Linked DNA regions of Rattus norvegicus. The protein of the gene in region 4 interacts with the protein of the main gene of each other region in a pairwise test. Links are inferred from orthologs where the notes say so. Each region holds a gene or a part of one and is shown on either strand. Other genes may lie near its edges.

Region 1 (4,231 bases), on a different chromosome or scaffold from region 4:
ACTACTATTCGAATACATTTAGCTTTTTTTTTTTTTAATCTTCTAAGAAAGCTGAAACAGGGCTCCCAGATGCAGATTAAAGGTCTCTCCTGGGGTTGGGGATTTAGCTCAGTGGTAGAGCGCTTGCCTAGCAGGCCGCAAGGCCCTGGGTTCGGTCCCCAACTCTCGGGAAAAAAAAAAAAAAGATGCCAAAGCACCCGTAAGTATCTTACCACAATGTGAGCAGGAAAGATTTTTTTTTGATAAGCTGAATCAATAAAAATTAAAAAGCCGTTTTCTATCACATAGCACACTGTCTGGCATTCCAGCAGGGAAAGAAAAAAAAATCAATAAATCTCTTTGTTGTCAAATGTTCCAGGAAGGTGAATTAAATCACGCTGTATGTTTAAAATATGTGGATCTTTTATAAGCCCAGATTTTTTTTTTTTTGGTCTAAATTTGAAAGCATGTGTTCTTATTCAAAAAACCTGGGAAATATAAGAGAAAATCCATAATGACAGCAGTATTTACATTGTTTAGATCAGAATGTATAAAAGAACTGCTTGTCCTTGGTAACTTTTTAAAACTGCATGTGTGCGCAAGCTTGTTGCTGCTTGCCTGAGGAGGTCAGAAGACAACTTGTGGGCGGCAGGGCCCTCCTCCACCATGTGGCTCCTGGAGAGTGAGCTCCAGCTGTCAATTTGTAATGTCTCCCTGAAGTAACCTTACCTGGTCGCGGTTACTGTGTCTCATTTTTTAACTGTTGGCCATGACAGTGCAGTATCATTGAACTGAACATCTTTTTTTTTTTTTTAATTTTAAGAGTGTTTCTCTGGTACATTAATATATCCAGAGACATTAATGGTCCAGAGATAGCTTTAAGCCTTCCTGCTACTTTAATATTGACCTTCATTATACTTCTCAAATTCCAGGGACTGCTGAAACACATTGGCTTCTAAGTTTCCCCCACTGTATCTGCTTTTACCTTCAAATCTTTCACATGTTGACTCAACAGACTGCAGCACCTGCAAAGCCGTCCCCAATTCAGCTTCCTGGATTCCAATGTCCAATTGCCACTGTCCTGTCTTTTCTAAACTATGTCAAACTGTGATATAGGCGAAAGGCAAGGCATCCACAGGGATCCAGTGCCTCCAGCCCCGCAGCCGGTCTGTAGGAGGGTTTGCAACTGGGCTCTTTCTTTTCACAAACAAAACACCCACTCGGTGCCACTGTGCTACCCCTGGCTTTTACTATGAGAACTGAACTTGGCAAATGCCACGAGGAGTGCCAACTTCCTACCAGCCCAGCCACCCCGTTTCTTTCACAGAGAAGGAAAAAAAAAATCTGAGAAGCTCTGGAATTCTAGAAGGCACCTTGATTAACCACTTCACGGGGAAGTCTTCAATATTGCTGATTCTTACAGGCAGCTGCTCCAGCAGCCTGTAATTAAGACTTTTTTCCCCCCTAAACACTCCCTTATTACATGGGACTCTGATCATTCTGTCAGCAAAAAGGAAGATCGTTACTCAAAGTCCAGACAGCTTCAACTTGGGGTGTTTGGGTAAAAATGATGGGTACATTATTAACCCCTTGCTTTCTCAATCAAAGACCCACTCGACGAACGGGGACTCTTAATGTTTTGGGAAACCAAATTCATGAAATGATACAACAGGAATTTGTAATCCGTTGAGTAATTTGCAACCAGCACATCTGCAGGAGGACAGAATTCAAAGTCAGGCACATAGAGCCTGAGCAACACCGAGAACTGATAACCCACCTCTGGAAGGGTGTCTGCCCCTGAGAAATGATAACCACCTCAGGAAGGGTGTCTGCCACACACACCTGTCCTGGAGTCTTACAGCCTTGTTGGCTGTGGCTCCCGCTTCCCACCCTCGGCTTTAGAGAGATCCCACCTGACCCCTTTAATTTCTTAATTATATTTTCCATTTGGTGGTGTTGTGAACAAACTCAGGGCCATGCTAGACAATTATTCTATCATTCAGCTATTTGCCCCCCTCTTTATTTTTGCACCCCACCCCTTCTCTGTAGCATTTTTTTTTTCTATTTGATAAAAATGCATACTCAGACCTGGACTGGAGCTGCCTGTCCCTCATGTCCTTTAAGCCATTCCCAACGAGTACTTCTGATCTAAAACCCGGAGACGTTGTTATGACTTCCAACCTTCCTCCTCTCCCCCGGACCGATCCAACAGACCCCACCCCCGGGCCCCGAGGCGTCCAAATTGAAAACTTTCCCCTCCCCATCCACGAGCTCCCAAGCTCCAGACACCTGAGGAGAGCTGAAAAGGAGAGGGGCCCGTCCGAAACAGCTGGACTAGGGAGGGCGTGGACGCCCTTGGCAATGAGACGCTGGGAAGGTCGCCCCGCAATGTGCTCCCATCTCGGAAAGGCGACCTGGAGCTGTGCAGCGAAGACCCTGGCCTCGAACCCGCGACCCGCTACCGCGCTGGGCGACGACCCTGCGGTCTCCGACTTGTCCTCTCACCAACGCTGCGAAGCCCGCGTCCCGGCCTTACCCCGAGCACCTCCCCACGGTCGCCACCAACCCACCCGACACCCGGCCCCACATCTCAAGCCAGGGCTCTCAACAGCGCGACCCCCGGCCTCAGGGCCGCCCAGAGAGCCGGCCACACCTCCATCACTCACCGCTGCCGCCCTCACCGCCACCGCCTTCGTCCATCTTGAGGCCACTCCCAGCCAGCCGGCGAGCCCGGAGCCGGCGGGAGCGACTGGGCTGAAAGCCGGGACTAGGAGAAGTGGTCGCGGGGAGAACGGAGGAGCTCCTCAGCGTGCGCGGCCCGGGTCGCGGCCGGGCCTCCACGGAGGGCCGGGCGGAGCCTCGCTGCTCCGGCGCCGTCACGTGACATAAACCACGCCCCCCTCTGTGGGTGTGGGCGGAGACTAGACGCCTAGTGGTCCCGCCCTCCAGACTCCGCCGGGCCTTGCAGTAGCTGCAGTAGCTGCTTAGCCTAGAGACTTGGATCCTGCAGCGCTGCACCCTCCTTCGAACCTGGTGTCTGCCCCTCTAGAGCATCCTGGAGAGGAAGCCGTGTCTATCAGGAGCACGAGGACGCCCCGCTCTACAAAACCAAATGGCTATGTTGCGACTCGCAAGTGCATGGAGTAGGGGAGTGGGAAAAGATCTGGAAGGGAAGGCTGATGATGATTGGCTCAACGAAAAGAACTAACTATAAGTTTTACTGTGACCGCAGCATGCATGGGCGTCCAAACATGACATACACACAGTAATAATTGTGTGAGGAGATAGTTCTGTTGTTAAGAGCACTCTCTGCTCTTGAAGAGAGCCAGAGTTTGTTTCCAGCACTCACAGAACCCTTGTAACTACAGCTCCAAAAAGGATCGGATACTTCTGGCCTCCAAAGACACCTGTACTCATATGAGGGTTATCTGGAACACTCTTCTTGCCTCCAACGACACCAGGCATGCTTGTGGTGCATACATACACGCGGGCAAAACACCTATACACACAAAATAAATTTAAAAGAAAAACTTTTTTGAGACAGGGTTTCTCTGCATAGCCCTCAATATCATGGAACTCTCTGTGTGTACCAGGCTAACCTTCGACTCAGAGGTCTTCCTGCCTCTGACACCCGAATGCTGGAACTAAAAGGATGAGCCAAGGGGTTGGGGATTTAGCTCAGTGGTAGAGCGCTTGCCTAGCAAGCACAAGGCCCTGGGTTCGGTCCTCAGCTCCGAAGGGGAAAAAAAAAAGAAAAGAAAAAGAAAAGGATGACCCAACATGCCCAGCTAAATAATTTTTTTTTCAAATGTTTATTTTAAAAAATAATTTTAAAAATAATAAAAATTGGGTGTGATGCTTTGATGACAGCAAGCAAATCTCTATGAATTCTTCGTGGGCTTGGTCTATATAGTGAGTTCTAGGTTAGCCAGAGATACCTAGTGAGTCCCTGTCTGAAATAATAACAATAATAATAATCGTCATCATCATCGTCTGAAAATGAGCCCACTGTGAAGAAGCCTCTCCCTCTCCCCACCTCCTCCCTTCTTCATCCTCAAGATGTTAGGGTAATTCCAGCCTTTTATCCCTTCCGTGTATAATGAAAATGGAGTCTCTTTTTCCTGCGGATTGGATGCATTTTAAAATTAACAAAGTATCGAGGTTTGTAAATGAATGTAGTCATGACGTTGAACCCTAATCCCAGTCCAGCACAGCTGGGGCCCAGCTCTCAAAAAGCCTGATTACAGAGGTT
Region 2 (4,184 bases), about 60 Mb from region 4:
GAGTGTTGAATCCACCCATGCCCTCTTTGGGTTCTCATCTTGCTTTATCCTTCAGAATCCCTAGGTAATAACCGGACAGGATTAATTAACTGGCCGCTCTCCCACCTCCAGGTCTAGGGCAGGGACTAAGAACAAAGGAGACCATGATGGAGAAAGATGCTCAGTTGGGCTGGACAGGCAGGGGCAGGCAATTCTAATGAACAGGAGAGAACTGGGTAGGACTGGTGTACCCAGGGTCTCCATGAGGGAGGGCATGGGTCAGGCCACTCACTCATAAAGGTCACAGAGGGGATTAGGAGGCTCCATGACTAATCCAAAGGCTTAACCAAGTCCTGGCCCAGAATCCACCCCCACCTGAGCAGTCCAGGGACACAAATGAGGGCAAGACCTGGAAGCCCCACCCATCATGGGCCTGGGATTTACAAGTATGCCAGAGTCCCCACCATGCAGGCTCCTCACCGCTTCCCCTGCAAAGGGGAAGAGAATTCTGGGAGGAGAGATGAGTTTAAGGGCAGGAGTGTGGGGACTGAAAAGGTTGGGTCGAAGGAAGACTTTAAGTACCGACTCTTGGAGAACTGCCAAACTTGACAGTGCAAAGCGGAAGATTCTGAGGGAAAAGGGGTGCCTTGGGAGAATGCCTGGGGAAGGCAGAGTTTTCGGAAGAGGAAGCTAAGAGGGAGAGTTTAGAAGAGAGGAAGAGCCTGAAAAACAGACAAAGCGCTGGGAAGGTAGAGCCCTTGCATTCACGGTACCCAATACCGTAACATTTGGAAGACAGAATGCTTTTATTTACCATCCTTTGAGTCTGAGATTTCAGGTGTGTAGGAAAGTCTAATGTGGTGGTACGAAAGGGGTTCAAAGATTGCGACCTGCTAAGAAGTACCCTGAAAAGGGGGCAGAAAGACGGGCCTGTGAGGCTCCCAGTTGCTTGGCAACCACTGCGGTCAAAAGCTAGCATGGAGGGCCAGGAGGTGTGGCTGGAGCAACAACCCAAGGTTGAGACCCGCCCTTGACAACAAAACTAATAAGGCACCGCCCCCTAACAACGAATGCCTGCGGAGGGGTTGGTGGAGGAGGGTTAGGTAGCCCTAGTCTGGCTTGTGCGCAGGCGCAATCTCCCCTCTCCATGAAGTCACACCTCCTGGTCACTTCTTTTTCAGTTTTCTTATTGGAGGGTAAAACTGCCAAGGATTTTCCTTTGTCTTGGAGGCGGGACTGAACAAACTACCCATAGTCCGATTGGTCAGCCTAGCAGTCTATTGCCAGCTGTACGTTCCTGCATCTGCTTCTCGTGTGCCTATTGGTCCTGGAGATGATCCTGTGGTGTCGGGGGGCGGAGCAGTCGGGGAGACCCGCAGCGGATTGGGTGGTGTCAAAGCGAGGGGCGGGCCCCACCGGCCGGGCGGTTGGGCCGTGAAGGGAGAGTCTTTTCGGCGCTGAGGACGGGCGCTGAGGAGGCGGCGGTGGCTCCTGGGGCGTTTGAGCGGGCTCACTCGAGCCCGCGGGCCGACGCGGACGCAGGCCCAGCCGGCGGAAACGCCCCGGACTCCCCGCGGGCCTTCCTAGCCGCCATGGAGGACGGTGTCTACGGTAGGCCGGGCGAGGCGGGCGGGCGGGCGGAGCGGTTCCCAAGCCCCGCCGCGGACAGCAGAGCAGTGGCGAGGCGCCTTTCAGCGCGCGGGACGGGCTTCCGGCGCGGTCGAGAGCCGGGGGTCCCGGGCCATTGTTTGGGCCGAGCCCGCTTCCGGCGGCGGCGGCGGGCGGGGCGCGGAGCGGGGCGGGGCGGGGCGTACACCCGCGGGAGCAGCGGCCTGGCTTTCTTCCTGCAGACCTAGGCTTAACGCCGTCCCTACCGACCCTGACCCAGGATCCTGCTGCCCTATCCTGACTCTACTGTGTACCCAAGATCCAGACCACAGTGTCCGCTATGGCGGAACCAGAACCTCGGGTTCTTTCCAAGAAATGCACCCAAGATTCAGGACCCCCAACTTTCCCACCATGATGGAGCCAGAATCGGGCCCCCTTACAAGAAATGCACCAAAGGTCCATATTGTGGTGGATCCAGAAGCCAGAGTCCTGATTTCTTTCTAAGATTTGCACCCAAGATGCAGGATTCCCAGGTCCTCAACCACGAAGGGACCTACTCCCTTCCAAGATCTAGGGTTCCAAAGCCCTTTCGATGATGGAGCCATGAGCCCAAGGCCTTCCAAGTAATGTTTCCAGTATCCAAGCACCCTGTTCTACTGTGTTGGAACCAAGGAGCCAGGGCATCCAAATAAAGCATTTAAAATTCAGACTTAGAGTTTCTGACTGTGGTGGGACCAGGATCCCAGGGAGTGGTTCCCTTCCGAGTAATGGGCCCAGAAATGCATCCTCAGACCTATGAGATGGGATTCTCAGGGACTTCAGCCCCAAACTAAGGACTTCCGGGCCTTACTCCCCAGAACTAATCTCTTGACCCTGGTCCCCAGAGCCCCCAGACTTGACTCCAGAGGAGCGCATGGAGCTGGAGAACATCCGTCGGCGAAAGCAGGAGCTGCTGGTGGAGATCCAGCGCCTCCGGGAAGAGCTAAGTGAAGCTATGAGCGAAGTGGAGGGTCTGGAGGCCAATGAGGGCAGGTGAGGACCGTGGGAGTTCATGGGACATGGGGCGTAGCCAGGGCTCTGGGTGCTGAAGCATCGACCCTTGGCTGCTCACCACCCTGCTCTTGCAGTAAGACCTTGCAGCGGAACCGGAAGATGGCAATGGGCCGGAAGAAATTCAACATGGACCCCAAAAAGGTTAGCAGGGAAGATACTCAGGCACGGTTTTGACATCTCTGGTTCTAGAAGTGTTAAGACAGTAGGTTTCCTCTAGGCAGCAGGCTGGATCCCTAGACATCTGTCCAATGATTGTGTACTGAGGCCTTTGGGAGCCTGGCTCTGTGCTTTGCAATGCTGAGAACCCTAAGACCCTGCCATATTCTGGGGGACCCCTCGATATAAGTGCTTACAGTTCAGGATGAGATAGGTAGTAAGAGAGGGGCTTTCATGCCACAGGAAGAGCCAGGTAAGGGATTCCATGTTCCTGTCTACGTGGGCAGGTATGTGGTGTCAGCGTCATTTCTTTATTGTAATGTGTAGTAGTGTATCCAGTTATTCTTCAGACCCATTCCTCGACAGGCCCAGTTGTTCATGCTGGAATTAGCCGGAGAGGCTGAGGGAGTAGGCTAGGGATGGCACGTGGGGGGCTATGTGAAGGTGGTCGTGCTTTGTTAGGGTGAGGAAGCTTCGGTGCAGGAACCTCTGCCCTGAGCACAAATCTGGCCCCCTCCCTCCAGGGGATCCAATTCTTGGTGGAGCATGAACTTCTACAGAACACACCTGAGGAAATTGCCCGCTTCCTGTACAAGGGCGAGGGGCTGAACAAGACAGCCATTGGGGACTACCTAGGGGAAAGGTGAGCTGCCAGGCCTGCACAGTGCTTCCACCCTCTTTAGCGTCTCATGGGGTACAGCAGGTTTGTGGCCTCCACTGGGTCATGATACAATGGACTGACTAGCTCTGCAGGGGCAGGGTTTGAGTCTTGGGAGGTGGCACCTGTAGGCATCCAGTGAGTAAGGGCACCCGTTATGTTTGAGGGACTACTGAAGTCTGAATGTTAGCACCTTAACCGTGGATACACAACTGGGTTGTCTGGAAGTCTTGAGCCATGGGCCAGAGCCCCACGTGTGTAGAAACCTCTGTAGATGCGTGAGTGCATAGGAACTGGGAATTGCTCGTGGGTTCTTAGATAAAGGCCAGCTCTTGAGATAAGGCTTGTAGGGAGCACAAGAACAGTTGAGAGAAGTGACATCAGGTCCTTTGTGTGCTCAAAGCTTCGACGGGCTACAAGAGCAAAGTGTCCTCCTATTCCAGGACCCGACCTGTGCTTAAAGCCAGGGGACAGGCTGAGCCACTGTGGAGGCAGCACAGTGAACAAGATGTGACATTGTTATCTGTCCTATCACTCTCCTGATGTGACTGTATCTCCCTCCAGGGAAGAGCTGAACCTGTCTGTGCTCCATGCTTTTGTGGATCTACATGAGTTCACCGACCTCAATCTGGTTCAGGCCCTCCGGTGAGGATGGGGCAGAAATGCACCTGCCAGGGCCTTCTCAGCTGTGAGGGTCGAGCCATACCAACCAAAACAAGCCACACTCACT
Region 3 (4,015 bases), on a different chromosome or scaffold from region 4:
AGACCTGACTCTCCTTCCTCCCACTGTGGTTGGCCTGACCCCTTCATGCCCTGCAGAAGCCCAGAGAATCCCTGGACCTTCTCCAGGCAGTGATTTGCAGAGAGGGAGCTGTGAAGGGAGAAAGCTGGTTCTGGAGCTGCCCTTCTGCAGCACTGGATTTCACACCTTTGTTTCAGTCCGGAAGATCCTCCCTCAAACCTCCCAGCGCCTCTTTTGCTATACTTTTAGGTTTTTTGTTTTTGAGGTGCAGTTTCACTATATTGTCCTCCTGCCTCAGCTTCCAGGGAAGCTGGACTAACAACAGGCATGCAACAGGCAGGCACCACTACCTCAGGCCTTTCTGGGGTAAGGAGGGTTTGCACGGTGTATGGGGGACATCCTGGAAAGGGAGCTACAACTTGGTGATGCCCCAGCCCATATATGAGACTCTCTGAGTCTTTGGGAATCAGTCCTCTCTTTTTCCCTGGTTTCTGGGATGCACGCTAGGCAAGTGCTCATCACTGAGCAGCACAGCTCAGCCACTTGTCTAGAGTTCACAGGACAGGGTGTTCCCTAGGGGCCTTTTCAGATATTAGTTGGTTGTTTCCACTAATTAATTCTGCAGAGACCTCCTGCGGCATAAATGCTTTCACCTCCACAGAAGCGGTCCCCCGCCCCCACACTGCAAAGGAGGATCAACTGGTCCTCCCAAAAAAAGCCCCAGAGTCCGTGAATTGACGCTAAGGTAGTAAAGCGGGCAGTTATGTCGTCCTGTGAAACTTGGCGCCGGCAGGAATTCCTCCTGGACAAGCTGGAGTGAGAGGTGGATTCAACCAGAGTCACCTACCCTTCGGTGACACCCGTGACCTTGAGTCTGTTTAACCAGCCCAGTGGCTGGACACCGGCCCCCGCTTAGTAAGCCACGCCCGCGGCCTACGCTCGCTTGTGAAACTTAAAACCCGAAACTGCCCCGCCCCGCGGAGAGTGAGGGGGCCGTACCTAAGAAGCGGGGGCGTGGTTTAGGGTGGAATCATAGGTAGGCCGCGCGTGCGTAAACGCAAACCAAAGAGGCCCGCACGCGGACGGGGCCTAGAGGGCGTTCACGCAGGCGCGCTTTTGCTGCGGGCGGGACCTTGTGCCGGGGGCGGTGCCTCGGGCGGCGCGTGCGCAGGCGCGTGCTGGGCAGTGCGGGCGCGGTGCGGGGGGCGGGGCTCCGCGGTTCGTAGCTGGACTGTGGCGAGCTGGTGTCTGGCAGGACGCGGGCTGCGGGAGGTCAGTGGCGGTCGGTGGCCGGAGTCGGTCGCCGGCACCATGGAGGACGATGACAGCTATGGTGAGTGAGGCCGGTCCACTGCCCCTTCGTGCGCTTCCGCCTGCGCCGGTGCCCCTGGGACGGGGCACCGAGTGCTGGCAGCCGGCAGTGCGAGGGCCCGGGGGTGACTGCCCAGGCGCTCAGGGACCTGAGGGTCGCCGGGACTGAGGGTCGCCTGGTCCTTAGGGTCGCCGTGAACTGAGAGTCACCCGGGCCTGATGGTCGCCGGGAGCTGAGTGTCATTCCGGCCTGAGGGTCGCCGGGGCTACGGGTCACCCAGGCCTGTAGGGTCACGGGCAGGGGTCGCCCGAACTTGAGGGCACCGAGATGGGCAGGTGTTAACTCGGGGCTTTCGGCTTCCGGGAGCGGGATTGCTCGGACCCGAGGGTCGCTGGGGCTGAGGTTTGCGAGTCTGGGGACCCCGGGAGGGGAGTCACACAGGTTAGAGGGTCTCCGCGGCCGGCGGCGTGTAACCGGAGCGCTGAGGGTCATGAGGATGCTGAGGAGCCCCGGGGCGCGGAGGGGCATCAGGGCCGGGTGACTGGGGTCGGAGTCTTCGAAACCAGTCGCCTGCTGCTTGTCACCGGGTTGGCCAACGCCGTGAGCGAGCGGCCGCGGGACTAACACGCCCGCCCGGCCTGTGTTCCCTGGTAGTTTCCGGCTCTCGGGGTGTTAGAAGTTATGTGCCCCAGCTAGCTAGCTCTTTGTTCTAAGATGAACACAAATGGCCAGAACCGGGGGCCTCTGAGACGGGACGTCGGTCAGGTTTGTGCTACCGTCGCATGGTGAATTAGCTCCTGGTCCCCAAGTCTGTCAGTCAGGGCCTGGCCACACTGGGCAAGGAGATCAAGTTTGAGCTATTGCCTGAAGGTAACGACACCAATCCACATCCTCCAACAGGGCATTCAGCGATTTAGACTCTCCTGGCTAACCTTGGTGCTTGTTGGCGTCCAGCCAGGGCTCTGGTCCCTCAGAGGGCGTGCAGTCTCTGGAGTTGTAGAAGGTTATTTCAAATGCTTTACATGGTGGTTGTTAGCCTTGTTTCCAAGAGGAATGGAAGAAGGAATGGCAGGTAGACCGAGCGGCGGCGAACTTTATTGGTTTGTCAGGGAAGTATGGATCAGGAACTTAACGTGCTTATGGGGCATAATGGAGCCAAACTCTGGCGTGTTGCCTCACAGGCTGCACTGCCTCCTCACACACTGGTGAAGAGTATTAAAATAATACCAAAAGGGAAGCGTGTTAGGTCTCTGCAGGCAAGTCCTTAGAGAACTCCCAACCGGTGAAGCCTTGAAGGTTGTGGCTAAAAACTCCCTAAACTTTTCAGAAAAGTGAACCTGTGTTTCCCTGAATGTTAGAGGTCTGTGCTTGTCTGTTCAGCCAGCCTTTGCTGCCTTCCAGGTAGAAGTGGTATGTGCCTTCCTTTGTGACAGAAAAGCAGTCACCCGCAGGCCGACCCCTGAGGGATTGTTAGGCCCCTTTGGACCCTCAGGGTTTTTCTTCTGCTGGAAACCTTCACCTGGTTTCCTCACTGCTCTTTTCTCTCCCTCTTGTCCTTTGTTGCCCCTAGGCGCCAGGGCTCTGCCAAGCTTTGGTCTTACCCTCCCCTGGTTATTGCCTGCTGGGTGGTGAGGCAAGAGGCGGCTCTTCTGGTTGGTTTTAATAGTGACTTCCTTGACTCAGGCATGACTTGTACTAGGAAAGGAAACATGGACGTGTTTTGGTTCCTGTTACTGCCAGGAATAGAGGCGCTCAGACCCAAATTTATAGTTCTGGAGGTCAGAAAATCCAAAATAGGTCACACTGGGCTGATACCAATATTTTGTTAGGGCAGTGTTCCTTCCAGAGATTGGAGGGAAAAGCTGGCCTCCATTGCTTTCCTAGCTCTAGAGAATGCTTGCTTCCCCTGGTATCAATCTTTAAAGGCAATCCCCTGGGTAACATCTCTTTACTCCCTTGCTACCCTTTCACAAGAACACTGGTATGTCACACCCACTTGGATAACCCAGGATAAGGGTCACAGCCATCCACAAATTCAGCCTCCCTTTTGCCACATGGGTATACACTTTTAAAGATTTGAGGATTGGGAAGTTCACATCTTTAACTTTTTAAAATATTCATTCACTCATTTACTGCATATGGAGAGGACATACTTACAGGAGTTGGTTCCCTGCTTCTGCTCTGCCCGTCCTGGGATGAAACTCAGGTTCCTAGACTTATCACCAAGTGCTTTCTAACCCACTGGGACACATCACCATCCCAGATGTGGGTATGCATACGTGCAAGCCTTCAAGAGAGCTGCACAGGAGGATGAAAAGGAAGCTTATTTCACCTTGTATACACTTTTATTTTTTACACTTTTTTTATTTGAGAGGAACTAAAGGAATTAAATACAAGAGAACTCCGCAAGTATCATAGTATAAAATGACCACGTGGAGGCTGAGACCAGCTTCCTTCCTCTCTTTCTCCCTCTCTCCTTCCTTCCTTCCCTTCCTCTCCTTTTCTTCTCTCTTTTCTCTTTCCATTTTTAGTTGGGGAACATCTCCCTATGATTCCACAGGGCTGGCCTCAAACTCCTAGGTTTAAGTAAATGGTCTTCCTGCCTCAGCCTTCTGAGTAGCTGGCCCTGTGTTGATTCTGTGTCTGGCTGAGCTCCCAGTTTGGTCTGTGATAGTATCGGACTATACAGAGTGTACTCGGTCCGGTTTCCACATGCTAAGAGGA
Region 4 (3,500 bases):
TTGTTACAGAGAGGAGAGAGGAATTTCCACATCCTTTTATAATTATTATTGTTGTTGTTGTTGTTGTTATTGTATATGAAGGTATATGGAGACACATATATTATTATAATTATTATTATTATTATTATTACTATTGTATATGTGAGGTATATGGGGCACAGTTTATTGTTGTTGTTATTGTTGTTGTATGTGTGAGGTGTATGGGGGCACACATGTGCCACAGTACATGTGCAGAAGTCAAAGGACAACCTTTAAGAGTTCGTTCACGGGGTTGGGGATTTAGTTCAGTGGTAGAGCGCTTGCCTAGCAAGCGCAAGGCCCTGGGTTCGGTCCCCAGCTCCGAAAAAAAAAAAAAAGATAGATAAAAAGAGTTCGTTCACTTTTTTTCTAATTATCTTTATGATTATCCAGGCTTAAATTGGGGTTGTTAGACTTATACACCACCTACTTTACTCACTGAATTATCCTGTCAACCCCTCTTGTATTTCTCCTTCTAAACAAATGATTACAGTCAGTTCTTCAATGGGAAACAATTGTTTGGCTTCTCCATTCTTAACATCTATATCTTTTTTTTTTCTCTTTTACATTTATTTTCATTCATTCACTCATTCATTTTTATGAGAGTTTTGTTCAAAGTGTTATAATCATATTCAACCTCTTCCACCACAACTCTTCCAGATTCATGTCCTATCCATGTATTCATCCTGACCCTCCTAACTTTGTGTCCTTTAAAAACAAACAAAACCCCTCAGTACTAATTTGTGCTGCCCAAATACTTTGTGATGCGTGCGAGACCACATTTGCATCTTGTAATCGCAAAGCTAAAGGTCACTTAAAACCCACACTTGAAATTCTGTGTCTTTGCCAGAACAAAAAATATAATCAATATGTACTGCACACTCTATATTTGAGGAAAATGGCCATTTCCAAATAGTATGCACATCCAGTGATAGTCACATAGGCATGAGCTGTCTCTTCTGTTTTGAACAGCTCATAGCTTCAGAAAAAGAAGTTTCTTAACTCATATTTATACCTCCCGTCTGATCACACCACTGACCTTACTTGCCTATGCCAAGGGAGATGCTATTAATCCCAATACTTTGTTTGTACAACATCCCCTCATATATTTGTGGCCAGACAGAGACCACTACTTCCCTTCCTCACAGAACAATCCTCTTAGCCCTCTCCCTCAAAGGTTATCTCCTACCTACCCTACCTACTCAGCTACCTCTAGAAGTTATTTTCTAATAAAAAGTGGGTAATTGGTTCAGATTGAAGATATCAATGTAAAATATCACTTAATATAAAGCATCCATGGAGAAAGCCCTAAAAAACAGTGACAACTGAGTGACTTCAAGAATGAGTTACTAGCCTGGCTGTTTAACTTCACATGTATTAAAATATAGTATGCCCTCATGCACACACACACACACACACACACACACATACAAACACACACACACACATACACGCACACACACATACACATACACGCACACACACACACATACATACATACACACACACACACACACACACACACACACACACGCAGCATATAGTTGCATCCTGGCACATAGTTGTGAGCTCTGGCCTAAATTATTGTCTTCTAAAAATTAAATTAATAGGGAATATCCAAAATATTGATACTTTTTAAGGGTTTACTTCACAATATATATATATACATATATATATATGCCCCCCTTTCTCTGTATACATGTGTGTGCATGCGTATGTGAGTGCATGTGTGTGTGTGCATCTATGCCCATGCATGTGCATCCACAATGCATTTGGATACAAACAGAAGCCTGAGGAGAACATAGATCCCTTGGGCTGGAGGTACAGGTGGTTGTGAGCCACCCAATGCGGGTGCTAGGAACTGAGTGCCTAAAGAGCAGCGCTAAGCCACTGAGTATCTCCAGCCCCATACCTGAGAACTTAAGGACACCCTCCCTGCTCAGGGTAGAGGAGAAAGAATGGTCATTCATGTCATTGGGCAACCACTGCAAGTTAGCATAGGAATTTAGCAAGCCAACTTTTAGCAGTACACTGAAAACTTACAGTGCAAATCCATTATTCTCCAGTTGCTCACTGACATCAGATATCCTTGTTTTACACCAAAATGAATGAGGCACAATTAGAAAAGACTTGTCATGAATGGGTAGTGATAGACACACATTTGTCCTGAATCAAAAATGAAAGTTATCAAAGAATATTTAAGACACATTATTGATTTCTACACACAACTATTTCTTTTGTCAAGAGAAAACTCTTTCCCATAAATATAAGCTGTTGCCTCGTCTGTAGGTGATGCCCTTGAGAATGCATGTGAAATATCTGCCTTCCATCAATTACAAAGATACCCTTAAGAGACCACTGATCAGCCCTTTCCAACAGGAAGATGGCCTCTCTAAGCCCATCTGGTAACATTCAACCAAAATAAATGCACTTTACAGATCCCCAGGGCTTAATTATTAGACTACGGAACCATAAAAGGGGGTTCCCCAAATTTATGGGGAGGAGTTACCATATGAACACATGCCTGCCTGCTTTATTTGGTTAGTGACACTTAGCAACCAGAGTTGCCACAGGCAAATTCTACCAAAGGAGCCAGCAGCTAAACCCATGTGACTAATTATCAAATAGCCATTCATGAGTTTAAAACCTTTTTGTTACAATTTTATATCAGAGTTATATAATGCCCCCAACAAATATTTGCCATCTAAGAAGAATAAGCAATTTCCTGGTTTACCTCTGTCTGTCATTCTTGATCCAGAAGCTCTGTCTGGGACTGTTAGATGGTCTTGACTGTTGTTCAGTGAAGAAGTGTCATCACTAGACAAAGAGTTCAAACAACCACTTTCTGGTGTTGTGGAGCTGTTTTCTGAGACCCGGCAACTGCTTGCCTCTGAGGAGGCAAGTGTGTGGACCTGTACAGCAAATGACAGGGGATGTCCCACATCTTCGGTAGCAGGCGAGCTGTTAACTATGTCAAGCCACGACTGTCTTTCTTTAGATCCCGAGGAAGAAAACCGGCTGGGTGCCTTTACTGTATTTTCCAGAGAAGAGAAAGAACATGATGTTTCTCTCCGTTTGGGTGAAGAAGAAGATGCCCGCCGTGCAGCCTATTTTCCACAAATAAAATCAGAAGGAAGAGGAGGAAAAGAAGAGAGACTGTGAATTATCATTCTCTCTGTCCGAATTTTATTCAAATTTGCCCAGAATTGTTTCAAAAAAGTGATCAGAAACTTTTTTAAAAAGTCAGAGGAAAAAGGAAAAATGTGTGACACTCGTTTCTGTATGCCAGCTAAGAGCCTTTTGTGGGGTTTTGAGTTTACTATATAAGATTTGAAAAATCCCTATAGCAAGATTGTTTTACTCAAAACTTTCAACATTTCCAACAACTTAAACACTACGTTAGAACAATTCTGTAGAACGTTTGTGAGTGCAATGATAACTTGTCGTTATTTTTGATTCACAATGAAATGAGCAAAAACAAG

The links.
Region 1: the proteins of Ipcef1 (region 4) and Cyth3 interact in binary tests that used the Homo sapiens proteins (3 or more experiments, as listed by UniProt). The link is inferred for Rattus norvegicus from reciprocal best matches to the Homo sapiens genes IPCEF1 and CYTH3.
Region 2: the proteins of Ipcef1 (region 4) and Cyth2 interact in binary tests that used the Homo sapiens proteins (3 or more experiments, as listed by UniProt). The link is inferred for Rattus norvegicus from reciprocal best matches to the Homo sapiens genes IPCEF1 and CYTH2.
Region 3: the proteins of Ipcef1 (region 4) and Cyth1 interact in binary tests that used the Homo sapiens proteins (3 or more experiments, as listed by UniProt). The link is inferred for Rattus norvegicus from reciprocal best matches to the Homo sapiens genes IPCEF1 and CYTH1.

Annotation. Positions count from the first base shown.
Region 1 is NC_086030.1:16,044,629-16,048,859, forward strand, and holds the start of Cyth3 (cytohesin-3), read right to left. Parts: upstream 2,801-4,231; 5' UTR 2,680-2,800; coding exon 2,646-2,679; intron 1-2,645. UniProt on the Homo sapiens protein: Promotes guanine-nucleotide exchange on ARF1 and ARF6. Promotes the activation of ARF factors through replacement of GDP with GTP. Plays a role in the epithelial polarization.
Region 2 is NC_086019.1:105,424,743-105,428,926, reverse strand, and holds the start of Cyth2 (cytohesin-2), read left to right. Parts: upstream 1-1,384; 5' UTR 1,385-1,571; coding exon 1,572-1,590; intron 1,591-2,471; coding exon 2,472-2,619; intron 2,620-2,714; coding exon 2,715-2,781; intron 2,782-3,320; coding exon 3,321-3,439; intron 3,440-4,018; coding exon 4,019-4,099; intron 4,100-4,184. UniProt on the Homo sapiens protein: Acts as a guanine-nucleotide exchange factor (GEF). Promotes guanine-nucleotide exchange on ARF1, ARF3 and ARF6. Activates ARF factors through replacement of GDP with GTP.
Region 3 is NC_086028.1:103,981,584-103,985,598, reverse strand, and holds the start of Cyth1 (cytohesin-1), read left to right. Parts: upstream 1-1,215; 5' UTR 1,216-1,290; coding exon 1,291-1,312; intron 1,313-4,015. UniProt on the Homo sapiens protein: Promotes guanine-nucleotide exchange on ARF1, ARF5 and ARF6. Promotes the activation of ARF factors through replacement of GDP with GTP.
Region 4 is NC_086019.1:45,703,494-45,706,993, forward strand, and holds part of Ipcef1 (interactor protein for cytohesin exchange factors 1), read right to left. Parts: intron 3,126-3,500; coding exon 2,753-3,125; intron 1-2,752. UniProt on the Homo sapiens protein: Enhances the promotion of guanine-nucleotide exchange by PSCD2 on ARF6 in a concentration-dependent manner.